4 linked regions of the Canis lupus familiaris genome follow. The protein of the gene in region 3 interacts with the protein of the main gene of each other region in a pairwise test. Links are inferred from orthologs where the notes say so. Each region holds a gene or a part of one and is shown on either strand. Other genes may lie near its edges. The genes, in order: KASH5, FATE1, BCL2L2 and BMF.

Region 1 (6,697 bases), on a different chromosome or scaffold from region 3:
CATGGCCCTTAGCCCTCCCCGCCCCCACTCTGATACTAGGGAGAAATCATGGTCAAGTCAGCTTGGAGGAAACTGAGGTGGGGCCCAGTATCCGTAGAGGGGAGTGGGAGGTGGGCTTTGCGGTCAGGCTGCTCAGAGAGACCATCTTGGATGCTTTGGACTCCAAGCGGCCTGGATGCCCGGCAAATACCTGGGATCCCACATTCCCATCCTGAGGACTTATGGGCTCCCTGTCTCTCCTCTCTGAGCTTCACTCCCTTTCCCAGCCTGAGAATGAGACTGGTACCTGCACCTCACCCTGCTGCTTGGAGGCGCAAAGCTGCTGGTGTGTGTGGTGCCAGGAGGGAGAGCCATGACAGGTGTGTGCCCCAGGGAGTTCTGGGGTTGGCTGGGGAGGGCCCAGCCCCTTCCTGTGTGTGGGTGCATGTGCGTGTGCATTTTCGCATTCCGGGGGTGTAGCCACGTCTGTGAGGCCTGTGGCTTAGCGGCTGCCGCCCCATGTATGCGCTTGGGGGGTCCCCTGGGAACATTCTGGCCGCCCACTGGCCTGCAGGCCTTCCCCCACGACGCTGTCCGCTCTCATTAGCTATAGCAAGGGCCTTGTTATCTCTTGGCCAAATGATTTTTCTGTCTGCTCAAGAGAAGTGGGAGTGTGGGTGAGGGCTGGGAGGAGCTGTCACTGCATCACCCTCCTCAAGGGCCTGGAGTGGGTGGGGACTGCTTACCATGGTCTGGGGCTCTACTTCCTCCTCATTCTCGCTTCTGGGCAACCTGAGGGGACAACAGAGTCATACTGCTTGGCTTGGCTCCCCTTCGCCCACCGTGGAGCTGTATGAACCTTTAAAGCAGGGGTTCTTAAATGGATGGGTCTGGAGGTGTCCTCCCATGAGGAAACTGCTGTGTGTAGGTCAGTGTGCATATTTCACAGGGGAATTTTCAGCAAAAGAGTGTGTGACCCCCCAAAGGGTAAGAGGGTCTCTTGATCAAACCGGTTTTCTCTTCTGCTGTTTTCCAGCTGATGCCCTAGCTAGGAGCTGAGGCTTCTGCTCAATTACTCTCCCAAACAAGACTCAGAGTTTCTCTGGGACTCTAGGGCAGGGGTGGACTCCACCCCCCACTTTATGCCTGCGGGGCGGGGGTGGGGGTGAGGTTTGTGTCTTTTTCAGTGAGTCTCAGGTTTATTGAGTCTTCTTTTAGGACCAAGATTCCAGAAGCCAACTGTGAACATCTCTCCTCACAAATCATTTCTCTTCGGTGTGCAAGCTGCCAACTTCTGCCCCTCTGAGGGTTGCAGCTGCCTGAGCCCCTGGAATACCTCTCTGGGGACTCAGACCTCAAGCGGCCCAGATCGAGTACCCCCTGAGAGACCCAGAGGTCCATACCATTGGCTACCACCTTTGTAGGGGATCCAGCAAGGGATTCAGGGATCCAGCCCTCCAGCTGCCAGTACCTTGACACCCTCAGAACACAGCTGTGTCTTCACTAGCACCCAGAAAGGTGTCCAGGTTGGTAAGCCCCCAGCCTCTGCTGCCCAGTCAGACACACAGCTGTCTCATCCCTTGGGACTTCAACTTGCGCTCCAGGGGGCTCCTCTCTCGGCCCCTCTCCAGATCACAGCTCTCACCCCTAGCTGCCACCTTTAGGGGGCACAGGATTTGCCTCCCTGGCTTCCAGCTTCCCGGTGTCACACTGCCCTGATCCTGGGAAACTCAAGATTCAGCCCCCACCCTCACTGCTACTCAGCCCCCCTCCCTTCCCTTCCCTGGTGACGTAGGGGGAGGTCATAGCTCTGGAGCCCCCTTCCTGCCCAATCTCAGCTTTCTCAGACAAGTCCAATTAGAGGCCAGTGGCAGGCAGCCTCATTAGTTGTCACAGCCGAGAGCCTGAAGGGGGGACAGCAGCAGGCGGGAGGCATCACAGGAAACCACAGGCCCCAAGGCCAGGCCCCAGGGGAGGGTGGGCCCAGACATCCAGTGGTTTAGGTCCCCTTAGAGGCCTGCACCTGCTTCATCACAATCCCAGGGCTGGGGCTATGTGGCACTAATGCTCACACCACCCCCATCATGAAGTAAGCAAGCTGGGGCTTGCTTTGAACCCAGGGTGTCCAAGTCCAGAGTCCTCCACTGTCTCCTGACTCCCTGGGTTCTCCATGGGTCAGTCTGGGTTTCAGTCATCCATCCCAGGGGTCCCTGGCCTTGGGAGAGGTGTGTTCAGTGACAGTGACAAAGTGATTGAGCTGTCCCATTAGCTAGCCAACTGTCCTCTTGTCTAGGAGTTTCCTATCTGAGTACTGCTCCTACGGGACCCCATTCAAGCATCATCTCCCCGGGAAGCCCCCCTGCTCTGCAGGTGGCCTGAAATGCCAGATGTCCTCCCAGAACCGGCTGGGTCAGAGTCTGTCTCCCTCTAGGCTAGGAGACACTGAGGGCAGGGCTGGGGGTGGCTCATCCAGGTTCACAGGATGAGGGTCACTTCAGTGTGAGGGAATGAATGAATGAAGGAGTAAATGACCTGCCACTCCCCTGGGGCTCTTTCAACCCTTGTAGGCTATTTGAATTTGTCAAAGAATGTAGTGTCATCCCAAGGCAGGGGGACGGCTTTGGAAGGGACAAACTTCTTACCACATTGATTGCTCCTGTCTTCCTCCATGAGGGTGTGCTGGCTCTCCTTGGAAGTTTCTCTGTGGGAAAAGGAAAGGTTAGGTCTCCGGGGCTGTGACACCTGCAAGAATTCACCACCTACTTCTAGAACCTGTTGGACTCCCTCCCTGGGGCTGGTTCTCCCTCGCCCCAGGAGCAGAACCAAGAACGAGGCTTGTGCAGCCACTGGATGTCCCTCAGGGTCCCATCTTACTGGGCTGCAAGATAAGATCGGCGTCTCTGGGGGCACCCTGCGCCTCCAGCCTGCTTGTCCAGAGCCCCATCTCCCCTGTCCACTTCCCTTTGCATATTCCTCTCACTCCATCCCAAGGCCCTGGCCTGGCTCAAGTTTCATCTTCTGGACTCTTGCCCCAGCTTCTCCCTGGCCTCCCTGCCTCTAGCCGGTCCCCCTGGGGATCTTTCTACATTCAAAGCTGACCATACCCCCAGCCGCCTGCCCTGGGCGGCTTGATAAGGAATTCCTGTCACAATCCGGTCTCATCGCTCCCTAGCCATTCACCACTCCATTTCCCAAGCATGTTCTGTGCTTTCACACCCCACATCCTTGTGCCTGTACTTTCTGCTGCCAGCAAGGCCTCTCTTTCCTCACACCACTTAACTTCTCCCTCTTCTCCAAAATAAACTCACAGTTTTCCTGTGACCCCCTCTCCAGTCTCCCACACAACACAGGTCCCCTTTTTGCTGGGCTCCCTCCGGGCCTGCCCCCACCTCTGCACATGCATGGCCCTGCATGGGGATGGCCCCTTTGCATCATGTCCCCACTGGGCCCTGAGTGGCTCCACAAAGTAGCTCCAGGACTGAGAGCTGGTGACCCCCAGAGGCCTAGGTCAGCAGTCCCCTAGATGGCACGTCTGAGAGCTCACAGCAGAATTCACTCTGATTTATACCTCCTCTGAGGAATGTGACTGCCACCCACAGGCTGTGTGGCTGGGGACAGGTGACCTCTCTGAGCCTCAGCTTCCCATAGGTAACAGGATGAGGGATGAGGATGCCTACCTCGCAGAGATATCAGGGGAGGTAAATGACAAATCAGGGGCACCTGGGTGGCTCAATCAGCGAAGCATCCCACTCTTTGTTTTGGCTCAGGTCATGATCTCAGAGTCCTGGGATAAAGCCCCCTGTTGGTTCCGTTCTCAGTGTGGAGTCTGCTTGAGACTCTCTCTCTCCCTCTTGCTCTGCCCCTCCGCACACTCACACTCCCTCCCTTTCTCTCTCTCAAATAAATAAATAACTTAAAAAAAATCAGACAGCACTAGTGTTGAAGGGAAGCACAGAAGCTTCTCTCAACCCAGGGAGAAAGTAGCAAAGGAATGAGTTTCTCCTTTAAGAACAGGAAATAGTATAATTCTGAAGCATTGTTATTTTCAAGACAATGCAGTTACAGAGCTGTTAGCAATATTTTCTTTAAAAAAAAAAGGGAGACAGAGACTTTTGGTGCTGATAGATTAAAATCTCACTTTTCTCTTGTGGACAATGAAGATGAATTGTCTCAGTTGTTTCAAAGGATGTTGAAATATTGCTCAGGTAATTACAGAAGTCCTAAAACAACCACTATGGTTGAGTTCCAGATTTCACAGTGGGCTGGCTAAGCTGTTCTTAAAAGTGCCTCAGATCCAAAAAGTAAAAGCTTACTGTATTTTTACGGCATTTGTCAGAAGGATGCACTTTTTACCTTCCCGCTGCAGAACCATTGTAAATGCAGTGCTTCCTGATACCATTTTCTCAACTACAAAATTACCACCATGCAGTCTGGGTTTGCTTTGTTTGCTCCTGTCTCCTACCCTCATGGGCCAGTCCCTAGAGGGCAAGGATGGTCTCCTGGCTGGCCTGGGCTCTGTGTCCAGAAGATGTGCCCATGGGATGGGCAACGAGCTCCTAGCACATGGAGTCCCAGGCCCCCTTCCCAGCTCCTGGACTCCAGTGGTCTCTGAGCCCTTCCCATGCTCACCTGTGCCCCAGTTGGGGCTTTAGAGGGAAACTCAGCTTCCTCATCCGTCTCAATGGCAACCTCCTCCCACTGCCACACTCCACACAGAGGGCTTGAGAGAGCAGCGGCTGCCACTTCTTGTTTCTGGGAGAGGAGAAGTCCTTTCTAAGGCCAGGGAGGGCCAGGTGAAGGCAAAAGTCGGGTGAGAGATGGGGATGGAGATGGGCTGAGGCATTGAGGCATGGGGTGGGAGGAGACAAGGGGCTGGTGTGAGGCTGGGCTGGGAAGCGGGTAGAGGCAGGGCCTGGGAAGGGTTTGGCAGCAGGACCAAGGATGGGGGTGGGGATGATGTAGGTGAAGGATTGAGATGGTCCTCGTTGGGGGAGGATGGGGTATGGTGAGAATCAGGGCTGGGTTAGAGCCGGGGCTGGCAATGGGTTGGGGTGCTCCCCAGGAGCCAGGCCCACCTGCTGAATGGCCTCAATCTCTACACCCAGCGATGGGGGCAGCAGCCTGGTCCAGCCCACTCTTCTCACTTGGGCCCCTTCTGATAGCCTGGGCACATGGTCAAGAGGGGAAGGCTCTCTTTGTGCCTGCCCACTACCCATCAGTACACCCCCTCTGGGGTGGCTACTTTGCCCACATTGGGGCTGGAGGTCAGGGTTCCCGGCCTTGGGGCTCCCCTCCTACCTCCTCTACCCCTTATGTTCCACTCACTCATCTGGCCCCTCCTGGGTCTGACTCAGCTTCTCTTCCAGGTGTGAGATTTCCAGCCTCAGTTCCTGCAAAGGAGGGAGTGGGGGACCCCTGCCCCTCTGTTCTTCTCCATCTCCCAGCCTTGGGCTCCTCCGACAGTCAGTTCCACTCCCCTGATTTCCCTGGGCTCCTCCAGAAGCGTCTTGCCCAGGGACAAGGGGAAGAGAGCAGTGACAGAAACTCAGGAAGCCAAAGAGAGCTAGAGAGCAGCAGGAACCCAGAGGGTAGCCCACCAGCCAGGAAGATTAAAAACAGGATACATGGCCACAGATTCACGGAGAGGTAAAAGACTCATGAGGAGTAAGAGACTCAGAACCCTCAGAACCCACAGAGGGGAGAGTTATCCCTAAAGACAGATTAGATCAAAGAAAGGCAGGCACACAGAAAGATAAGCAGGGGAGATGCAGTGGTGACAAGACCCTCCCAGAGAATGAAACTGGACCCGAGATGGAGTTACGCAGGGTGGGAGAGAGAGGAAGGAAACAAAGGGCAAGTGAAAAGGTAGAGAGAGAGACACACACAACTCCAGAAAAAGAGAGACAGGGGCAAGAGGAGGCAGAAAATCACAGAGATGGCAGAAGAGTGGGGCCAGGCAGGGGGCCACGGGTGGGCAGGAAGGCAGTCGGGTACCTGGGTGGTTGTTCTGTACTCCTCCAACGTCTTGGCCAGACCCTCAGCGTGGTGAGTGCGCTGGAGAAGCCCAAAGCCCCCTGAGACTGGGCCCAGCCCCGCAAAGATGCTGAGGCAGGGCTAGGGGAGACTGGCAGGGTGAGTCTGAGGGAAGAGCTTGGGCCAGGGGGAAGAGCGCCAGGTTTCTAAATCCTGCAGGGACATACTTGCCACCCTGGGTGCAGGGAACCCTCTGACCCCTCCAGGCTGCTTATCCAGGGGATGAGACCCAGGCAGGACTTCCCTTTCCAGACCTTGGGGCAGGGGCAGGGGATAGCCGGGAGCACATGGGAGGTAAATGTCCTTCACCACCCCCTGGGGCCTCTCACCTCGGAGAGGACAGCATCTCGTTGGCAAATGAGGCGTTCACACTCACAGAGCTGCCACTGCCAAGGAAGGAGCCTGTCCATCTGTCCAGCCTCCTGGGACTGGCCTCAGCTAGTGCTGCTGCCCTTCCCAGCCCACCCAACTCTCCCAAGCCCCTCTCAACCTCCCACGATGTCTCTGGACATGAGCTATCCCAAGAGGGATTGCAGCTGAGCTGCCCAGAGCCCTGGGAGCCTGATGGCTGGATGAAGGCCCCGGCTTTCACGAGGCCAGAGGGGCTGAAACTGATAAAATGGCCACCAGGGAGGGGTGGCACCTTCAAAGCCTCCTTCTCTGTGGCCAGCTCCTCACTCCTCCT
Region 2 (7,304 bases), on a different chromosome or scaffold from region 3:
TCAGGAATGCAGGCAGGGCCTGGGTCTGCTGGGCTCCAGATTAGTCCCAGTGCTGGACAGGTGGGGCCAGGGAGGGGGCCAGGCAGTCCAGACCATGTCACCCTCTCTAGGCAAGTTGCAGCCCTTCCTTTTCTCTCTCACACTTTCCTTCCTCCCTCCTCCTTCCCTGCTTCCTCCTCTTCTTCCCTCCTCTTCCTGGCCCCAGCTGGGCTTGGTTCCTTTTGCAAATCACCTCCTCTTCCCCCCAGGGACTCTGGAGCTATTCCCTAGAGCCCAGGGTTCACCTCTGGTGATTGTATCAGTCAGGGTTCTCTAGAGAAAAGAAACCAGTAGGACTTATGTCAGTACATGTATGTATGTGCAAATGCCTATGTGTGTGTATACAGAGATTTATTTTGAGGAATTGGCTCCTGCCATTATGGGGCTTGCAAGGGCAAAATCTGCAGGGCAGGCCTGCACATTGGAATCTGAGGCAGGGAGAGATGCTGCAGTCTTTAAAAAAAATTGTTTTTTTTTTTTTAAAGTTTGAGCATAGTCCACATACAATGTTACATTAGTTTCAGGTGTACAATATAGTGATTCAACAAGTTTGTACATTATGCTATGCTCAGTACAATTGTAGCTGACACCCGTCACCATACAATGTTATTTTAATATCACTGACTCCGTGTTCCTGGTGTTCCTGCCGTGCTTTTTACTCCCATGATTTATTCCTTCCATATCTCCCACTCCCCTGGACCTATTTTGCCCATCCCCTACCCCCCTCGTCTCTGGAAATCAGCAGTTTGTTCTTTGTATTTATAGGTCTGAATGTGCTTTTTGTTTGTTGTTTTCGACTCCACATATGAGTGGAATCATATGGTATTTGTCTTTCTCTGTCTGACTTATTTCACTTAGCATAATACCCACTAGGTCCATCTACATTGTCACAAACAGCGTGATTTCATCTTTTTTAATGTTTGCACAATATTCCACTGTATGTGTATATGTCATGTCTTCCTCATTCGATATCCAATATTCTTATTGATGGACACTTAGGTCACTCTGTATCTGGGCTGTTGTAAATAATGCTGCCATAAAAATAGGGGTGCATATGTCTTTTCACATTAGTGTTTTCATTTTCTTTTTTTATTGTTGTTTTGTTTCATTTTCTTTTTTTAAGATTTTTTTAAATGTATTTATTTACTCACGAGAGGCAGAGAGAGAGAGAGAGAGAGAGAGAGAGAGAGGCAGAGACACAGGCAGAGGGAGAAGCAGGCTCCATGCAGGGAGCCCGACATGGGACTCGATCCGGTCTCCAGGATCACACCCTGGGCTGAAGGTGGCGCTAAACCGTTGAGCCACCGGGGCTGCCCTTTGTTTCATTTTCTTTAGGTAAATACCCAGTAGTGGGATTATTGTTTCATACAGTATTTCTATTTTTAATTTTTTGAGGAAACTCAATTCTATTTTCCATAGTGGCTGCACCAATTTGCATTCCCACCAACCGTGCGTGAGGGTTCCTTTTTTTTTCCATGTCCTCACCAACACTTGTTTCTTGTATTGTTGATTTTAGCCATTCTCACAGGGGTGAGGTGATACCTCATGGTGGTTTTGATTTGCATTTCCCTGATGATGAGTGATGCTGAGCATCTTTTCACATGTCTGTTGGCCATCTGTATGTCTTCTTTGGAAATAAGTCTATTCAGGTCCTCTGCCCCTTCTTAAATTGGATTTTTTTGTTTTTCTAGTGCTGACAGTTGTATCAGTTCTTTATATATTTTGCATTTTAACCCCTTCTCAGATACATCATTTGCCCATATCTTTTCCCATTCACTAGGTTGCCTTTCTGTTTTGTTGACAGGTTCCTTTACTGTGCCAAAGCTTTGTATTCTGATTTAGTCCCAGGAGTTTTTGTTTGCTTTTGTTTCCCGATGTTGCATTCTTGAGCAAAATTTCTTCTTCGCTGGAAAACCTCAGTCTTTGCTCTTCAGGCCTTTCAACTCATTAAATGAGGCCTATCCACATTATCAAGGATTAGTAATGTCTTTTACTTAAAGTCCACAGAGTGCAAATGTCAACCAAAGCTCCAAAATAACTTCATAGCAACACCTAGACTAGTGTTTGATGGAATAACTGGGAACTATAGGCTACCCAACGAACAGATAAACTTGACCCTCACAGTGGTCTAATCATTAGGGAAGCTGAGAGAGAATTTGGACTTAGACCAGGGACTGCAGGGCCTGCCTGGGGACAGTGGGCCCTCCAGTGGCTACAGGTAGATCCCTTCTTTCCTGCCCTTCCCTCCTTAGATTCTCATGGTTCCTGCTCAGACTGACCCAAGGCATTAAAAGGCCATCTCCCCTGGGAACTCTACATTGGGGGGAAACAAGATGTGCTCTGTAGAGGATGCCTCCTGAGGGGAGCTGTGGCCTGAAATACTTGCCAGAGCTGGGCTTGCAGAAGCCACAACAAGTTTGGGATCTAACCCTGTTCTGGCTACTGACTGGCTTTGGGGTCCTGTGCCAGTATCTACCTCTCTTTAGAAATGATGGAGAGTAGATCCCACTGGCCCCTCAATGGGGCCAAATCATGTGACCCGAGAGCCAGGGTAGTTCTCACAGGCAAAGTTTCTGAGATAAGTATCAGAAACTCCTCCTCCTAAGTTGCTTACAGAGTAGCAGGGGAGAAGACTGTGAACCAAGCCAATAAGATACAACAGGAACACAAGGTGCTGGGTCCAAGGCCTGAGTCCTGTGGGAGAGTGTGGCTCCACCCCCATGGCCAGATATATCTTCCTCGAGCTCCTGCCCCTGGAAGAGCAGACTTTCCAAGAGTCTGCTCTGTGCCCGGCTTCCTGTGTATCCTGGCTATAGCTTAATAGCTAAGCGCTAGCTGTGATGGCAGGAGGCCCCCCTACTATCAAGGAGGAGATGGAAACATCCATCGCTGAAGAGCTGGTTCCTGGAAACTATGGGAAAAGCCAGGAGCACCTGGTGATAGCAGGTGAGGAGCCCCTGTAATGTCCCTTTCCTTTGGGTGTCTGCACCCAGTCACATGTGTTGGAGAAGGTGTGTTCATGGCTGGGAAGAGTCATATATATGCAAGTATGTGTGGCTATGTGTGTGTCTGTGCCTTGGTGTGCGTATACCTGTATTTGTGCCTTGATGAACAGGAAGCTGGGGGGGAAAGGTATTGATGATGTGAGCATTTTGAAGCCTGTGAGAGAGTAGGATGGGATCCACATGTGTGGTCCTTATCTCCCCCTGTCCAAGCTACCACTGTGTTTATGGCAAAGTATCCAGAGCGCTCAATTTATAAGATCATTCAGACCAATTCTCTCTCCTTTTTAATGCCTTTTCCTCCTTTAGAGTAAAATCCAAACTCCTTTCCTTGATCTACAAGAGCCAGCCAATGCCACCTCCTCAATATATTTCATGCTGTGGTATGATGACCCACAGCACACTGCATTTATACTTGTCCTCATAAGACCCGAAGGCTGATTCTTCCTGATAGCCTTTGTGTTGACTGCTACCTCTGCCTGGGATGCTGTTTTCCTAGATTTTCCATGGCTGCCATCATTTTTGTCTTTCAGGTCTCTGCCTCACAGGTGTTTCTGGCTTTTCTAGAAGTAGCCCTTCCTTCCACCATGTTGCCCTGTTCTTATCATTTTGGGAGCATGTATCTCTTGATCTGAGTTAACACTGATAGATTATACCCATTTTGCACCCCTCACTTCAGCTAAGCACACATAGACAGTTGATTACTAGATTGCTGAGATCTTGTGTCTTGGTCATTGCTCTCCCTCCAGTAACCTAGCCCAGAGTTTGGCCCTCAAGAAATACTTACTAAACTTTTAAACAAATGAACAGACTGAGGCTTGGGATCTGCCAGGGGACAACAGTGAATGAATATTGAATGACTCCTAAGAAGTTTGGGTACCTTATCCTCTTTCTGGTGTGTCCTGTGTCCAGGAAGCCTTGGTATAGCCTCTATGGGTGTTTCTGGGGCCTCTCTTCTTTTGCCTAGAAATGATGGAGCATGGATCCCAGTCTGTGGGTGCTTCTCAGCGGCGACAGAAGGCGGATCCAAAGGCTGCTGGCTCTGCTGCAGGTCAATCGGGTTGGAATATGACTGGCAACCGGAGCAAGAAAGCGGTACTGTATGGAGTCCTTGGCATGCAGTGGCTAGGCTGGGGTTGGGACAACAGACTAAAGGGGCTCCAGCTTCATGACGGTAGGTTGAGCAGAGCCAGATGTTGACTTGGGGCCAAAGGAAAAAGCTTTTGTGTACCAGTGAGGCAATGAAGGCAGGGATGTCCTTTGAGAGGTCAGGGCCATCCTTTGGTAGGCTGGGAGCTCAACCTTGGGTTTCCAGAACACCGGATTCACATATTCCTTGGGGACTACATATACACTTTATTTTGCAAAACTCTATTGTGTGTGAAATGACACTTTCCTTTATAAATAAATAATTCTATATGTATATTTCCTTCCATATCTATATTATCTATATTATCTATATAAATTATAACTATATAAATTATTTAATTATCAACTAAATAATCAGCCTGGAATCATGAGAATCATTGATGAATAAAAGGAAGGAAGGATAGGAAAGAAAGAATCTGTCTGTAGCCATTGGAGGCCCCACTGTCCCCATACAGGTCCTACAGTCTCTGGTCTAAGTCCAAATTCTCCCTCAGCTTCCCTAATGATTAGATCACTATGAGGGTCAAGTTTACCTGTTTGTTGGGTAGCCTGTAGTTCCCAGTTATTCCATCAAACACTAGTCTAGGTGTTGCCATGAAGGCATTTTGGAATTTATTTTATTTTATTTTTATTTTTATTTTTTTAAAGATTTATTTATTTATTTATGATAGAGAGAGAAAGAGAGAGGCAGAGACACAGGAGGAGGGAGAAGCAGCTCCATGCACCGGGAGCCCGACGCCGGACTTGATCCCGGAACTCCAGGATCGCGCCCTGGGCCAAAGGCAGGCACTAAACCGCTGAGCCACCCAGGGATCCCCATCATTTTGGAATTTTAGTTAGCATCTACACTCTGTGGACTTTAAGTAAAAGACATTAGTAATCCTTGATACTGTAGATGGACCTCATCTACGCTATTAAATAGAAATATACATACATAAAACAATATGATTCTCAAGTCTGGAAAAAGATTAAGACAAGTTAGGTTCCTATGTTCCCTGGCTGTTAGGAAATCCAATCAATTGAATCTGACCATTATGTAGCCAATCCTTTAAAGTACCTTTAATGTGGGTTAAGAAAAGCTCTGGAAAACTGGCAGGTACACTGTTACAAAGGATACTGGGAAAAGGTGGTCATTTTGGAGAGGAGGGAGACCTGAGTGTTCTAGGGAATCCCGTGAGATCTCTCACTGTGTAGCCAATCCTTTAGGTTACATTCACTGCTAAGTGAGAAGAAGCTTTGGAAACATGGTTGCTATACTGTTGCAAAAGTTGCTGGAAAAAGAGAACCCAGTTGGAGAGGAGAGGGACCTGACTGTTGAAGGGAGTCATCTGAGTTTCAAGTTCTGTATCCAATCTGTTCCACACTTTCACTGTGAGGGAGGGAAAGCTTTAGAAAAATGGTTGTTATACTGTTGCAAATGTTACTGGGAAAAGGCAACTCGGTTGCAGAGGAAGGGAAACCCAGTGTTCTTGGAAATCATCTGAGTCTCATTGTTCTGTAGCTAATCCTTTAAGCTACATTCACTCTGGGTGAGGGAATGTTCTAGAAAAAAAATGGCAGCCATATTGTTGCAAAGATTACTGGGAAAAGGTAGCCATGTTGGAGGAAGGATGACTCGACTATTCTAGGGAATCAGTTGAGTCAGGTAGTTCTGTAGCAGATTCTGTTAGCCAGAGTCACCATGGTTGTTACACTGTTGCAGAAGCTAGTGGGGAAAGTCAATAAGATTGGAGATTCCGGAGGCCTGGCTGTTCTAGGGAATGAGATATGATAAATGCCTAAGTGATTCCACTGCCAATGAATAAAGAGAAAAAGAGCTCCCAGAGACCTCTTGGGAATGGAAATAAGCTAGAAATACTGAATTGGTTTAGTCTCCAATGGCAGAAGTCAAATCAGGTTGCTCCAGCAGGTCAGGCTCCAGCAAGCCACCCATGCCCATGAGATTGAGGCAGAATGGGATGAGGGGGGGCAGTGGGGAGATATAATATCTGGATTAATTACAGTTACCTTTTAGGACCACAGGAATACTTTAAAAAGAAACAGCTGATATACTGATATGTATTATATACTAAATATATTGAATTTAGAAATTAGACATTTAGAAATAAGAAATTTACCAATTCTATTTATCATTGACTTTTGAGCACCTCCCCCCAAATGGAACTACCACCACCTTTGACAGAATCACAGCATGAAAGGCCAAAATTTCATGATAGTGTTTTGCTGATTTGGGTGTTGAGGAAGTAGTGTGCCTTGAAGAGTAAATGAAAATAAAAATAACACTATTTGAAGTAGTAGGCAGAAGCTAGGAGTTAATGAAGTTCATAGATTTTCTTAATCTCCATCAAAGTGCTAGCTATAAAATTCTTATATATTATTATGCATATAATTCTAAATTCACAACCATTCCTGGCTTTATTTATTTTATTTTATTTTTAAAAGATTTTATTTTTCTATTCATGAGAGACAGAGAGAGAGAGAGGCAGAGATACAGGCAGAAGCTGGCTCCATGCAGAGAGCCTGACGTGGGACTCAATCCCGGGTCTCCAGGATCACACCCTGGGCTGATGGCAGTGGTGCTAAACCTTTGAGCCACCCTGGCTGCCCCCATTCCTGGCTTTAAATGACTGCTCTGCGACTTACCTGTTGTGTGACTTGGACAAGTAACATGACCTCTCTGTGTCTCAGTTTTCCAATCTTTCAAAATGAGATGATAGTGATACCTATTTTGAGGGGTTGTGATGAGGATTTAATGGTTTGATGTTGGTTAGGGCTTAGAGAATGACATGTGGCATGTGTGAAACCAAATAGCTTGTGACATTTTTCTTCTTGCATTGGAAGCCCAGAGCTGAGATTTGAACCCAGGTGGGTCTGGCACATTCTGTTCCTCTAGCCCACACTAGTTCCTCAAGGCATGACATACCCTAGCCCCAGAGCTGTGGGCCAGACACATCCACTCCAGATACGGATAAAAATGACAGCTGCTGAGATGGCTGTGCTCACTCAGGGACTCAGAGATGTGCTCACTCAGAGACTCAGAGACTCAGAGTCTCCCAGTGGCCAGAGTTCTATCCTGAGCTCCAACACTTACTGTGTGTCCTTGAAAAGTCCAGT
Region 3 (7,272 bases):
TGGGCTTTATTTTTTTTTCAATACGACCATTACATATTACACAAAAATAAAAGTCAAATGAACTTGATATTTATAAATTATTAAATAAAAATACAGGAATATATATTTATATTTATAGAGCTTTTTCTTTTCTTCTAAACTAACCAAATCTGTTCTCCCGCCATTTTATGATTTAAAAAAGTAAAATAGTATATACCCTAGGATAAATGGGGAGTGGGATTAATAATTGCAGGACCTAGTTGCCCTACTTCTCCTTCCTTGGCCTAAGCAAAGTCCCTATTTGTCCCTTTGGGCTCTGGAAAGCAAGAAATGCCCTCTCCACCTCTTTAATCTCTGAAAAAATGGCATTTAGATTTATTTCCCTTTTTTTTTTTTTTTTTTTAATGAAATAGATTTAAAAGTTGGGAGCCATACTCAGCCTTCCTGGCCAAGAGCTAATTCCAAGGAACTATATGGCTCTAGAAGAGAGTCTCTAGTTTTCCCTGACAGAAGAGTCTCTGGGGTTTCCATTGCCCCTCAAGCTATAAAGGACAGGACAGATCAAAACTGCCCACTATGACCCCAAGTAAGCTATGCTTCTGGGAATCCAAGCCCTTTACCCTTTCAGAAAACAATGTCTACTTCCACCCAGGTGTGAAGGCCTCAGCACAGGGCATTTCAGTTACCTGACCATGGTCCCTGCTGCTCTGGTTTGCTAAAGGCCCCCAGGAAAGCTAGCAGGGTCAGGGGTCCTGTGGTAGAAGGGAAGGTGAAGAGTCTGCCCCAAACTTGGGGGAGAGTGGGCTCCAATTTGGAGCTGATGGTCTAGTCAGTGGTTTTCCAACTTTTTTTTCAGCAGCAAACCCCTTAATGTAAATTAAATCTACCCTGAACCCCGATATGTAAGACAGCCACCAGGGGAGCTATTCTGTTTGAGGACATGTAGCCCAGCCTGCTTAGCACCCCCTCTTCATCTCCCCAAGGACTCCTGAGGCAACTCCTCCAAAACTTCAGGGTTCTGCCAAGCAGTCTGAAAACCACTGGTCTAGTTTGTCCTGAGCAAGTCAGAGACCCCCCACCCCCACCCCAACTGCCTGCCACAGACCAGCTCTGAGTTTCTGGTATCAGCATACTCACAACAGACCAAGTGGTGCATGCAGTCTACCACTTCCCCTATAAATACCGTTTAAAAAGTGCAGCCCTCTCTCAAAAGCAGAAGTCTGGGCTAAACACCTGAGGCCAATTTTGGTCCCACATTCTCGCGAGTACAACTATGTTGCCACATTCTGGGACCAAATGAAAATCTCTAAGAAGAGTCAACCATGGTCTAGCTAAGCTGATCAGTGCTCAGGATCAAGGGCAGGGTTCTAGAGCACTGTGTCTGAAGTCAGCATTGGAGAGCAGCAATTTTAGCACCTTGGGAAGTGCAGCAGTGAGGTCTGGCTCAGGACATACATCTGGAGTGAAATAATTTCTCTCTCAAAAGAAAATGCTATAATCTGAGTCCATTCTAGAGGACTGTGAGCTCTAAAGTTAGTGTCCTCAGACTCTGAGGTACAGACAAGTAATACCCATGCAAACAGTGTGGCTTCAAAGAAAGAAATGCTTCTAGGTCGTAGGTACTCTAGAACCCATACACCTGGCCCTTGATAAAGCAGCACCAAAGCCCACTACATGGAATAGGCCAGTCACGGACTACAGGTCACCCTCACACCCATGGGGTTCAGAGCTGGAATGTTCCTCTCAAGGCATCAGCAGTCTCACTGAGACACAGTGCAGGACCCAGACCATACTCTAGATCAACATTTACCTCCACACACTCCAAAGGAAAATTAGAGTCCCAATTTAGAGTTAAGCTTGGGTACAGTCCCAGAGACAGGGAACACCTGAGGCACCAGTGTGCCCCAGTGGGAAAGGAGGGTGGCAGGTAGGTCCAGACCCCCCAACCCCACCCCCACCCACCCCCTGCAGGCTTGGCAGCCTGTTCTCCTGTTTTCAGTCAGAGTCCAGGAGGCAGCAGCAAGTAAGTGATGTACAGGGAATGGGGATGGCAAAGCAACAGGGCAAGCTACAGAACTTCTCTTCTCCCTCAAGCCTGCTGATGACTTTCTGCCAGAAAGTGCCCAAAGCCCTCTACTGGATACAGTGTTTCTCCCACAGCCTTGAGGCATCAGGACAAGGGGGGGAGTGGGGGGGAGGGGCAGAGAACTGCCCCTTGTTCCTGCCACTCCAACAGGGAGCTCTTCTCAAGTACAGCCACCAACAGGTTAGACAAGCAGCCCGGCATGCACACAAGCATGCGTACACATGCACACACATGTCCAAGCAGCCCACCATCACAGCCATCTCTCTCTATCACCAGAGAACCTCAAGCTTCCATTTCAAAGGAATGTGCCCTCTGTTTCCCCCCCACACTCTCACTCATCCAATGGAGACACAACCCCTCCTGCAAGTCGACCTTCCTCATGGCTACAAGCTAAGTTCTAGGTATAGTTTTGTGTGCCTACACCTATAGACATGATCTCTCCCACCTCCTCCTGACCTTGGAATGACTTTATCTCCTGCCCGCCCCCCCGCCCCCGACTTTCCAAATACATTCCCTAATGTCTCCCAGCTCATCCTTCCAACTGCCTGCCTGGCAAACACAGCTCCTTCACACAGTACCCTGCCCTTTCCGATCCCCATTCCGTGCCCATCCATTCACCCCACTTCTTCCAAGGGCATTTCTCCTGTTCTGTTCTTGCTCTCCTGTCCCCTAGCCACACCTAGCCCCGCCTGGCCCCGGACTTGCTCACTTGCTCGCAAAAAAGGCCCCTACGGTGACCAGGGCCCCCAGTGCCACGGCCCCCGTCAGCACTGTCCTCACTGAGGCCCAGTTCCCCTCCCGCAGACGCCGCGCCTCCTCCAGGGCCCCGTCCCCGTATAGAGCTGTGAACTCCGCCTGTGGGAGAGAAGGGAAGTAGGAGAGAAAGAAGGAGAAAGGGAGATCAGGAGAGGAAAGAGTGGAGGAAAGAGGAGAGGAAGAGTTCCAGTTCCATCCACTGCAAGCACTACCCCATACCCAGCTCCTCGCCAGCCAAAGCTCTACTGGCTGCAAGGCCCCATCATCCCCCATGAGCGCCTGGCTCATTTGCCCTCTCTACCTCAAGTGAATCCCAGCCTCTCCTTGGCCAAAAATTGTGCTCTGAACTGACATCCTTTGCCAAGGCTTTCCTAACTACCACCCCATCCCTGACACCCCATCCCCACCACCGCCCATGTCACCGTACTCTGGTGTAAAAAGTTCCTGACAGCTGGATGCCATTTCCCTGCAGGCACTGTGTAGTCTGTCCTCTGCTTTGGACCATGAACCCATCCAGTGATGACTGCATGGCAGCCCTGGAGTGCAGAGTCTAGCGAGATACCCATAGTGAAGGCATCTGATTCCACCCAAATAGGGCGACTCCGCCCCTAGCCTCCAGCCAGAGCCCCCATCTTCCCTCTGGAGACAAGCTTTTTCGGAGGGGTGTGCAGAGCAGCAATTGAGAAGCTTCTTACCCAGCCCCCACTGCTGTGGATCCAGTCGGCCAGCCGTGTCTCCAGGTAGGCCACCATCCACTCTTGCACTTGTCCCACAAGTGGCTCCATCTCTTTGTTGACACTCTCAGCACACAGTGCAGCTCCAAAGACAAAGAAGGCCACAAGACGGCCCCAGTTGGGGCCCCCTTGGAAGAGTTCGTCAGAGACCTGGGTGAAGCGTTGCTGGGCTGAGCCTGGGGTCACATGCAGCTGGGCTGCCAAATCAGAGAAGGTGCGCCGGAAGCGGGTCTCAAACTCATCTCCAGCTGCCCGCATGGCTTGGTGCAGTGGATCAGCTGCTGGGCCCTCTCCAGGGCCAGCTCCACAAACATAACCCTTCTGCCTCAGCTTATAGCCTACAAAGTCTGCCACTAGAGCCCGTGTGTCTGGGGCTGAGGCTGGGGTCGCCATCCGGGCGGCTGTAAGAGTCAAGGATGAAAGACTGGCATGAATATATGGTCAGAGAGCCAGAAGGGGTACTTCAGGCTTGGCCAACCCAGTGAGACAGGGAGAGAGGTGGGAGGAAATGCTCAGAGACCACTGGGCAGGGAAGGGCAAGAACACAAGAGTTAAGTCAAGGTGAGCGGTCAGGGCATGAGGGGCTGGCCATTAAATTCATAATATGCCACATTAAATGCAAAACAAGTAAATTTTATTTTTAAAATACTTTAGATTTTTTTCCACAATAGGAGAATACCAGCTCTGCAACACCCCTGCAAACCACCCCCCCCTTCCACAGTACACACCTTTTTGGCTAAAGGAAGGGGCCTAGTACTTCCCCAGAGGGAAGATGTGAAGATGCTGGCAGAGGCACACAATGGGGGTGGAGACAGGGGCTGAAGGGAAAGGTGGAAGAAGCAAAGGGCTGCCTGGGACAGAAAAGAAAGGGGACACTCACCTAGCCTGGATGGCAGCTCTTAGGACCCAGCCCTGGTGGCAAGGAGCCCCCAGCTGGGGCCTTTCATCCTCCTGGCCAGCGTGGAGCCCTGGGAAGGGGAGGGGGAGAGCAGAGCTAGGTGGGGAAGGCCAGCGATCAGAGTCTGGACTAAGAAGGCTGGGGTTGCAGCTTCCTGGACCGGCCCCTGCCCCCAACATTCTACCAGCTGTGTGGCCGAATCCATGTTTAACGACTGTCCTCCCGGGAAACCCAGGGCCAAGGGCTTCCTGCCTTCACCATCTCTACTCCCGGCTCCCCCCCAGTGCAGTCCAACAGCCCAGCTCCTCCTTCACCCCCACCCTCAGCAAGTCTCCAACCCCGCCTGCCTGCCAGGTTAGGGATCTCACGGGTCAGGCCGCTGCCAGGATCCGGGCCGTTTCCTGGTGCAGGAGCTGGGAGGGAGGGAGAGAGGGAGGAAGGGAGGGAAGGAAGGAGGGAGGAGAAAGGGGGGGCGGGAGGGAGGGCCCGGCGCCGGGTGATGATGGGGCCCAGAGATGCGTCCAGAGAGAGAGGGGCGGGGCTGGGAAGCAAGCTTGGGAAGGGCCACAACTCCGGAAGAGAGAGGCCCGCTGGAGGCCAAGAGGAGTAGGGCTGGGAGGATACCGAGGGCCAGTCTGGGCTCCTGAGACTGAAGGCTGCCCAGAGAAGCCGGCTAGGCCTCAGGAAACCTCGGAGTAAATTCACCATTTCCCAGAAGGTCTCTGATGTTCCATGCACTTGTTGAATTTTTCCTGCCCAGGAGCGGATGCCTGGATTAGGGGAGCAGTTCCCACTAGAATGGGAACTGCTGACCAGGTGCCTTCCTTGCCTTGCGGGACTGGCAGACACGACATGGACACTGAACATTTCACTTCCTCTTCTCTCCAGGACCTCTAATCTAGTAGTCTCTTCATGGGCTGAAGCTTTAGCCAGGCATCAAGACTTGGATCGCCAAGTAGTTTCTGCAGGTAACTTTTCTTTACCTTCCTTTCTTTCTTCTTTCTTTCTTTCTTTCTTTCTTTCTTTCTTTCTTTCTTTCTTTCTCTTTCTTTCTTTCTTTCTTTTTCTTTCTTTCTTTTTCTTTCTTCTTTTTGTTTTGTAATCAGATTGGTTTTCATTCTAATTCTTTTTACTCAACACATGAATTCTCATGACAAGTTCAAACAACATAAAGGTATAAGGGGGAAAAATATGAGTCCTTAATCTCCCCCCCCCTTCCACCTCTTGCCCAATTCCACCTCCCTTCATGGAAGTTGCTAATGACAAGGTTGATGTTTACTCTTTCAGATTACATATATATATATATAATATATATATAATTATATGTATAGACACACACATATATATGTATACTTATTATTTATACAAGGCAGTATATTTATACAGGGCAGTTCACAGAATATTAAGCAGTCTGTCTACAGGTGATCCTCAGGAATGTTCTCTCAGGCATTCTGACTGGGCCCCACTGGCTCTTGCTCTGGCACGTCCTTCGGCTCCATTTGAAGGGATCTCCAGCCAAAGGCTAGAAAGCGGCAACCCACTTTTCCTTTCCTGCTGGTTCCCTTTACTTCTACCTCTACTTCAAGCCTTGATATTCCGACCTGGCCCTACAGTCACAGGAGAAGAAAGGTTTCTGTAACAATAATAGTAACAACAAATACATTTTGATGAGTTATTAGGTGCTATGTGCTTTCGTTACATGTATGATAGTTATCCTCACACCAATCCCTATGCTTTATTCTCATTCTATAGATGAAGAGAGTGAGGCTTGGAGACGGTAAGTAATTTGGCTGAAATCATATACTTAGAAACTGTTACTCAATTTTGTCTGACTTTAAAGTTTGTCTTTAAGTGCATTGCTGTAAGATCATCTCTTCTGCTTTGGGTAATCTATGTTGTTACAACTCCATTTTCAAGTCCAAACTCAGGGCAGCCCCAGTGGTGTAGCGGTTTAGCGCCGCAGCCCAGGGCGTGATCCTGGAGACCCGGGATTGAGTCCCACGTCGGGCTCCCAGCATGGAGCCTGCTTCCTCCTCTGCCTGTGTCTCTGCCTCTCTCTCGCTCTGTATCTCTCATGAGTAAATAAAATAAAATTAAAAAAGAAAAAAGAATCAAGTCCAAACTCAGTTATCCCCTCCATTCTGAATGCACAGCAGATTTCACACCTTTATGACTGTATCCTTTCAATCACCCTCCTCACTTCTTTGCTCTTGGGCTGATCACTCCAGCTGCCACCAGCAAGGCTGCCTTCTTTAGAGAATAATCCAGTCCAGTCCTTCATTTGCAATCCTGATTTCTTCTAAGACACTTACTTGAAATAAAAACACTTTTAGGTTTCAGGATCCAAATGTTTCTGTCTGCCCTCCCATTTATTCATAAACCCTGTGAGAGCAAGAACGGGATTATATTCACTGCTATGTTCTTCAGGCCTAATAGACACTCAGTAAATGTTGACTGAACAAATCATTCAACACCCTTGGTCAGTTATTTGAGCAGGCCCACTCTGATGTTTGAAGATAACTGTAGTGGCTGTTAAAGAACCAAAGACTCAACTGTGAAGAGGGAAAAAAAGAAAAAGAAACAAAAATTGATTTGGAATAAAGGTTCAATATCAGTCTTAGGGGCACCTGGGTGGCTCAGTGGTTGAGTGTCTGCCTTCAGCTCAGGGTGTGATCCTGGAGTCTCTGGATTGAGTCCCACTTTGGGCTTGTGGGAAGCCTGCTTCTCCCTCTGCCTGTGTCTCTGACTCTGTCTCTGTGTCTGTCATGAATAAATAAATATCTTTTTTTAAAAAAAATGTCAGTCTGAGCAGCCAGAAC
Region 4 (7,180 bases), on a different chromosome or scaffold from region 3:
TCTGTCTTTATTTACCAAGCTATGCTTGACCACAATTTATTTTTCATGCAGTAGCAGGTTGAAGCTCTTCTCTGGAAAAGCACCGGAGGCAGCTCTCCAGAGTTCCTGGGTTGAGCAAAGCAAGGCAGAGAAAGAGAAAACCAAAATGTGCCTTCACTTTTTCGTCTGGCTGGGCCCAGGTCCCACAGCTCGGGACAATGGTACTAAAACTAGGGAGAGCAAACTCTTCAGACCCACTGGATAGCCAAGTTCCTCTCTGGAGGAGCCCCAGGCCAGACCGCAAGAGCTAGAGACCAGCGCTGCACCCTACCCCAGTGCTGGCAGTCGAGCTGCCGCTAGGGGTGCCTGCCTGCCTGCCTTCTTCCTCTGTTCCTTCTTCCCTGCCGGCCTTATCCATCTCCTCAAACTCCAAAAAGAACTGCAGGGCAGCTCCCTCTGGGAATAACTGCAGCGTCTTCTCAATATGCTCCATCAGACATAGCAAGTTCGCCTCCAAGCCCTTCCCCTCCCTCCATAAGCTATTGTGCTAAAAGAAGAAAGCAGACTAAGTGTCTAACCCTGTCCCTTTGCCAGAGGAGGGCATGTTACTCATAAAGCAAACCATTTAAGCCCACAAATGAAGGGGTCTTGTCTGATTGAGCCTTGGAAACAGCCCCTCTACTGGCATCGAGCCCCGGCAGGCCCAACCTCTTTCTCTAGTTCCCCTTCCAAGCACAGAAAGTCCCAAGTGACACCTTCTGCCTTCAGGAATCTTCCCCTCCCAGAAAGGGCCGGGTTTTTCCCTTCAGTGTCAACAGCGATTCACACAGATCTCCCAACCTTCACTGGGGCCACATTGGCCAATTTACAAAAGGCATATCACTCCCAGGACACAAAAGGCTGGGCCGCTCAACGGGCCACAGGATGTAAAACTCAAGGCCCAGGTACCACTCTCCTATCCCAAAAGGTACCACAGACCCAAGGATCCCTGCAGAAACGGACAAAAAGGCAGAAATGATGGCAGGCATAGCAATTTGCCCTTCTCAGTGCCTAAGGAGCACAGGTGAAGAGCAATGACAAGCAGAGAAGCAGAATGACAAGAATCGAGGAATCAATAGCCCCTGCTGTTCAATTTGGGGAAGGAAATAACAAAGTGCACGTTTGGGGAGGGGAAGTCCCCTCTTTTCCCCCAGTCTCTATGGGAGGAGTCCTGAGGCTAAGAGCACTCACCATAAAAGAGTCGCTGGGGCTCTTCGGTCACCCCACAAGGCAGCATGACACCCTGACTTGGGGAGGCCGGACTGAGGGTCTGGGTGGCCTTGTCTTCCTGGCTGGTGGGTCGAAGCCCAGGGCCACAGCAGTGGGTGAGAGGGAAGAGATGCAGACGGCTGAGGGGGCAGTCCAGCTGGCTCTGGGCAAACAGGTCAGCAGAGAGCAAGCTCCCAGGCTGGGTCCCCGGCTCCCCATCCTCTGGCTGGAACACATCATCCTCCAGCTCCTCCACACACTGAGGCGGCTCCATCTCCCCTGTTAGAGCACAATGCAGGCCTCTGGGATGCTGCTTCTACCCAGGCCAAAGCTGAGGGATTCCCCTCCCCTTTTTTCTTTCCTGCTTCCCCTTCTTATTTGGGTGAGTAGGGCCAGGTACTGATGACAGACAACTGGTGATAAAGTACTACCAAGGATGACACCCGCCCCAAAGGCTGAGGACAGCCTCACTGCTCCATACCTCTTCCCTGGGCCTTCTGGGAGCCACCCCCCACCTTGGTCTTTTCTCCTGACCCAGGCTGGTTCCGGTCATGAAGTCTGACTGCTATTGACTCTGAGCACTAGCAGGGGTATGATCAACGGCTACAAGCATGCAGGACACCTGGGGAAATGTCAACAAGACCAGACCCTGTGAGTGGCTATGGGAGGGCAGAGGGTGCTGGGACTGGCTGTACACACAGTGCTCGCTCGCTCTCTCTCTCTCTCACACACACACACTCACTCACTCACTGCCCTGAGGAGTAACCACCAAGCTCTCATTTCAGTCTGAACTGAGCTCCAGGCTCAGCAGCAAAAACAAAAGCCAGCAACTCTAGGGCAGCCAGGTTCCCTCCAAACCTGTTAAGCCCCGCCCAGCTGCCGATCTACCCTAGTCTCCACCCCCTGCTTGCTCAACACAACAAACAGGCTCCACGGTGTGGTAAGAGTGGGTCCTGGGAGAGAGGGCAGAAAGACCCAAGTGAGTCATTGGCCTCCCAACAGAGCAGAGCCATCTGCCCACCACAGCTTGGCCTAGAGGGTAGGTCCAACATCCAGCAATGTGGCCAGCCTCCCCCAGCTCAGCCTACTCACTCGTCTCCATGACTTTAATCTTCTTTGCCCACAGTCTACCTACCATTCCTGTCGGCACCGAACCTGAGATTGGTCTAACCCTCCTTACAGAAGGAAGTGAAATTCAGCCCTCTTTTTGTGACCTCACTCACTGTCTCTGTACTACTCAGGTTGTTGATAGGAGTTTCTTGGTAATAAAGAAGTTCCTCTTGCTCCACCTGATGGTTCTTGGAAATCTGAGCTTGGAGCCACCCAGCATCTTGAGCTCCCAACTCAGCCCCCTACATACACACACATACACCAGGAACTTGTTAGGGTCCCTGGGGCAGCCAGAAGCAACAACTACCTGAATGGTTTGGGATTCAGAGGGATACTGTTTGTCACTGCCAGATTCAATTAGAGATCCCCTGGGAATTTTGTCTCCCAGTCTCTTTCTTGCCTTTGAAGAACAAGCCAAATGGTCTGTAGGCTGGTAAGATACTTAAAGGAATCTCACTTAAATTCAGAAACTTGGCTTTCCAAAATGCAAGCTCTCTCCGAGGCGCTTGCTTCAACCTTCCCTCCATCCCAACCAGTCCATGAGCTACTATGACCCTATCTTTGCCCTCTTCCCTGGTGAGTGAGGAGATGCCAGCTTGGATGGCAAAACAGGCACATGGTGTTCTTTAGAAAGTGTTTCCCAAAGGAGGGTAGGAGATCTTCAGCTTATCAGCAACAGGAAACAAAGTTTCTTGCTGAAAGGACCAAGTACTGTCTTGCCAGTCACCTGGCAGGGGCTCTTCTCCAGCCTTTCAGCCTTCTCTCTGCAGACTGGCAATCCCAGGCTAAGAGGGGGCCCTCCAAAGCTAATCACAAGCAGGAGTCATTGTCTTGGGTTTTCCTTTGAAGCCAGTCACCTCCCCCTCCCCCACCCAGCAAGGCCCCAAAGTTCAACCCTTGCCTGGACTGGACTGTCGGGGAAATGCAGCCATAGGGTGTGTCTCTGCAAGCCCTGGGGACCCTACCCATTCTCCACAAGAACTGCAGGTGGCTCCTCTGTACGTGGGAGCCTCCCGAGGGGTGCTGGGCAAAGTCAAGTGTAAACTGGGATATGGTAAAGAGACCCTCTGCTCTCTTCGCCTGAGCTGAGGAGGTGATGTCCAAACTGGTAGGAGGAGCACACTTCTTGAGAGCACTGCCTGGGAAGGTTTTATTCCTAGCAAAGGGGAACCAAAGCCCGCTTTGGAACCATCTCAGCCCCGAAGGGCTGTAAGAGGGATGCTGAACTTAAGACTCCTCCTCCTAGGAGAATAGCCAGGCACTCGGAGGTTCCGTAGGAGTTAAAATCTGGGAACGCACACATACATGCGTACACACCCACACGACACACAGCAGACCTGGGTGACTCCAGGAGAGAGTCTCGGCCTCCGAGTCGTGATGCCAGGGCTCCGCGCCAGGGTCCAGCGTGACGAGCACTCGGGGGCTTGGCGCCCAGAGTCAATTGGGAAGGAGGGAAAGAGCCCAGCTGTTAAGGAGAGGAGCCTTCAGACTCCGCAGGGAGGCTGGACGCCCCCCCACCCCCTGTCCTACCCCCGAGTCAGATCCAGAGGCCGGGCCGTTCTCGGGAGCCCAGGGCTGCTCAGCAGTGAACCGCAGCTTCCCCTGCCCACCTGGACCCAACTCCCTGCTGTCTGAAATGCTACTGCCCCCAAGTTCCCTCGCGGAGCAGCGCACCTAGATAAGGGTCCTGCACCGCGTTCCCGCACCCCGGCGCTCCAGTCCTCCATGGTCCCCCCACACGCCCGCAGCCCAACCCTTCTCGGGCCCCCATGCGCAGCTCGACTCCTCGCCCCACTTCCCGCCGAGGTGCGATCCAACTCCGCCCGGCCCCCGGCCGCCCGCGCGCTCACCGGGCTGCGGCGGGTGGCGGGCGGCGCGGGCAAGGGCGGCGGCGGCAGCTGGCGGGCCGGCGCGGGAGGAGGCCGCCGTGCACCGCGCGGTATTGTTTCCAAAATACGCCCGCTCGGGGCATCCCGCAAACAGCTGATGAGGCCCCGCCTCCGGCGCGTCACGCCCCCGGCGGCCAATGGCGAGCGGAGCCCCGAGTCCCGGGCTGGGCGGCTGCCAGGGACCGTCACGAATGTACCAACCTTCCCTTGGAAACACTGCAAGGGGCCGAGCGAAATTCCGGCTCCCGTCAGAAACGCAATCGGAGAGCCGTAGTCGGCGCAGATTCCGATCCCGAGCGCAAGCCCGGGAAGGACCGGAAAGGCCCTGGTCCTCTCCATTAGAAGGGAGAGAGGGGGCGCCAAAATGACTTTTGTCTTCTCTTTCTCGGGAATGGTCTGAATAATGACGGAGCGTCCAGAAAGGGAGAAGAGGAGGACGCAGCGGGCGGCGTCCGTCGAGGGCAAGGTGCGTGTCCTCGTGGACCCCGGCCTGGTGGCAAAGCGCCCTCCCGCCTGCCTAGCCCGGCGGAAAGAAACTCCAGGCGCGAATCTTCGGGAAGCATGCGGACACCTGCGTCTGGCACTGTTACTACTGAGTGACATTCAGATCTAACACATCCAGAGGGACCCTCAGGTCCTCTTCTTGAGGGGGCGTGGACACCTACAAAATAAGTATGTAGCCGAGGAGAGGGGAGATCGAGAATGCAGGGGCTGCTTGAGCAGTTGACACACATCCTGTTTATGGCAGCATCCAGAGATGGGGTTTGTGCTGCCAAGAAGATTATGTGTCCTGTGGATCTCCTGCTATCCATAAGGAAGTCCCCAGGCCACTTCACAAACATTCATTGAATACCTGCATTGTGCCAAATACTGGATTAGGAGCCAAAACCCTGTGCCTGTCCTCAGGGAGCTTACAGTTTATTCAGGAGAGGAAGATTCGAAAATTATGGAATGTGACATGAAATGTGTTAATTTTTAGGGACAAGGACTGCTGGAAGCTGCAGAAAAATTCAGGACACAAAACACTGGGGAAAGCTTCAGGAAGATGGCTTTTGAGTTGCGCCTTGAAGAATGGGGAGATTTTTCGATAAGGAAAACCAGGTAAAGTACCCTAAGCCCACGGCAGCAGAATAAAATGCTGAACTGGAGAATCTGTCCTGGGAGCAGAGAAGGCTGAAGGAGGGGTCATTGGTTGCATCCCAGGATTTGGGAAAGGGTGGTCATGGACAGATAGATTCAGGTCAGAGTACATAGGTGTCCATGCAATGCTAGGCTGGAGAATCTGTACTGGAGGCAAAAGGGAGCCACCAAAGATTTTTTTATAGAAGATGAGTGACTTGGGGGCACCTGTGTGGCTCAGTGGTTGAGCATCTGCCTTCAGCTCAGGTAATCATCCCAGGATCTTGGGATCCAGTCTCCCATCAGGCTCCTCGCAGGGAGCCTGCTTCTCCCTCTGCCTATGTCTCTGCCTCTCTCTATGTGTCTCTCATCAATACATAAATAAAATCTTAAAAAAAAAAAAAAAAAAGAAGGAAAAGGAACACCTGGGTGGTTCAGTGGTTGAGTGTCTGCCTTTGGCTCAGGTCACGATCCCAGGCTCTTGGGTTCGAGTCCTGCATGGAGTTCCCCGCAGGGAGACTGCTTCTCCCTCTGCCTATATCTCTGCCTCTGTGTGTCTCTCATGAATAAATAAAATCCTTAAAAAAAGAAAAAGAGAAGAAGAAGAAGAAGAAGAAGAAGAAGAAGAAGAAGAAGAAGAAGAAGAAGAAGAGGAAGGGGAGGAGGAAGGAGAGTAACTTAACTAAGGCTGCATTTTAAGAAAGATAAAAGAAGCCAAAATCAGTGAGAGAGAGCCAGTCACTGCAATAGACTGGGTGGTCGATGATGGGCCTGACCCCAGGGATAGTCGGGATGGACAGTCCTCTGACCACCAAGTTGCTCTCTCTGGTTGTAAACTCAGGCAGATTTAAGTTTAGTGGAGCTGGAATGCTTAGCCCAGAGGAGCCTGAAGTCTCCTTGTACCTTTTTCCTACCCATTCTTCCCTGAGCTCCCTCAAAGCATACCTGAAAGAGAGCCAACCAGGCATATTGAGGGCTGTGGTTGCTAGAGCAGGAAAACACTATCTCCAAAGTCCAGAGAAAAGAGAAAAGGGAAAAAAGATGAGGGTCAAAGTTGGCCAGCAGCCCCATCCTCCAGGAGTTGACGGATGTTCAGAAAGAGGTGCTGGAGCCAAAAGGAGGTATGTTACTTTACCAGGAGGCTTGGCTAAGAGGGAGTGTCACCTGGTCAGGGTGACCTAGCATTCATGCCACATGTGGGTAAATTAGGAAACCAAGCCCAGCTTCCATGCAGGGCACTGGGGAGCCCTTGCCACATTCACCACGCACAGACCTCTTTCCCCTCCTTCCTTCTATCCTTCTCTTCTTAATGGCTTTCCACCTGGGCCAATGTCTCAAGCTGGCCAGTAATGACCATGTGTATTACTTAGGATCAGGAATGGAACTGAAGGACTCAGCAGCTCTGAACCTGTCTTCTCAGGCATCATAGGCCCTGAGAGGGAGAGGTCATACTAATTCCCCTTATCTCTTCACCTACTCCACTCCCCAACCCTTGCTCCAAGCTGCTACTGCTCTGTCTGCTTCATCACAGCAGATTTGGGGCCACAAGGCAAGGAAGATGGTAGAGCAGGATTTTTATCTGGGATCCATGTACTTGCCAGACTCACCAGGGTGTCCTTAGCTGTAGGGTCTATGAACCCCTGAAATTGGCTAAATTGTATATGTGGGCTCACACAAACATTTTGAGGGGTGGTTCCATAGCTTACAACAGTTTCCCAAAAGGGCCTATGGCCCTATAAGAAGTTAAAAATAACCAATGTAGGGGAGTAGGGCTGAGAGCAAAAGGGATCACCTAAGTGGATCTGGGTAGTTTGCAAGATGGGAGGAGGGTCACA

What was found.
Region 1: the proteins of BCL2L2 (region 3) and KASH5 interact in binary tests that used the Homo sapiens proteins (3 or more experiments, as listed by UniProt). The two-hybrid records come from large-scale screens. The link is inferred for Canis lupus familiaris from reciprocal best matches to the Homo sapiens genes BCL2L2 and KASH5.
Region 2: the proteins of BCL2L2 (region 3) and FATE1 interact in binary tests that used the Homo sapiens proteins (3 or more experiments, as listed by UniProt). The two-hybrid records come from large-scale screens. The link is inferred for Canis lupus familiaris from reciprocal best matches to the Homo sapiens genes BCL2L2 and FATE1.
Region 4: the proteins of BCL2L2 (region 3) and BMF interact in binary tests that used the Homo sapiens proteins (3 or more experiments, as listed by UniProt). The two-hybrid records come from large-scale screens. The link is inferred for Canis lupus familiaris from reciprocal best matches to the Homo sapiens genes BCL2L2 and BMF.

Annotation. Positions count from the first base shown.
Region 1 is NC_049222.1:107,752,441-107,759,137, forward strand, and holds part of KASH5 (protein KASH5), read right to left. Parts: coding exon 6,656-6,697; intron 6,399-6,655; coding exon 6,342-6,398; intron 6,034-6,341; coding exon 5,974-6,033; intron 5,370-5,973; coding exon 5,305-5,369; intron 5,143-5,304; coding exon 5,055-5,142; intron 4,753-5,054; coding exon 4,609-4,752; intron 2,681-4,608; coding exon 2,622-2,680; intron 772-2,621; coding exon 726-771; intron 1-725. UniProt on the Homo sapiens protein: As a component of the LINC (LInker of Nucleoskeleton and Cytoskeleton) complex, involved in the connection between the nuclear lamina and the cytoskeleton.
Region 2 is NC_049260.1:120,978,820-120,986,123, forward strand, and holds the start of FATE1 (fetal and adult testis-expressed transcript protein), read left to right. Parts: upstream 1-2,784; 5' UTR 2,785-2,879; coding exon 2,880-2,985; intron 2,986-4,008; coding exon 4,009-4,136; intron 4,137-7,304. UniProt on the Homo sapiens protein: Involved in the regulation of endoplasmic reticulum (ER)-mitochondria coupling. Negatively regulates the ER-mitochondria distance and Ca(2+) transfer from ER to mitochondria possibly implicating it in the regulation of apoptosis.
Region 3 is NC_049229.1:3,689,631-3,696,902, reverse strand, and holds BCL2L2 (bcl-2-like protein 2), read right to left. Parts: upstream 4,874-7,272; 5' UTR 4,801-4,873; intron 4,524-4,800; 5' UTR 4,436-4,523; intron 3,957-4,435; 5' UTR 3,949-3,956; coding exon 3,517-3,948; intron 2,921-3,516; coding exon 2,771-2,920; 3' UTR 2,412-2,770; downstream 1-2,411. UniProt on the Homo sapiens protein: Promotes cell survival. Blocks dexamethasone-induced apoptosis. Mediates survival of postmitotic Sertoli cells by suppressing death-promoting activity of BAX.
Region 4 is NC_049251.1:7,603,106-7,610,285, forward strand, and holds the start of BMF (bcl-2-modifying factor), read right to left. Parts: upstream 4,290-7,180; 5' UTR 4,188-4,289; intron 4,139-4,187; exon of another isoform or gene 4,012-4,138; intron 3,803-4,011; 5' UTR 3,675-3,802; intron 1,850-3,674; exon of another isoform or gene 1,709-1,849; intron 1,507-1,708; 5' UTR 1,502-1,506; coding exon 1,210-1,501; intron 1-1,209. UniProt on the Homo sapiens protein: May play a role in apoptosis. Isoform 1 seems to be the main initiator.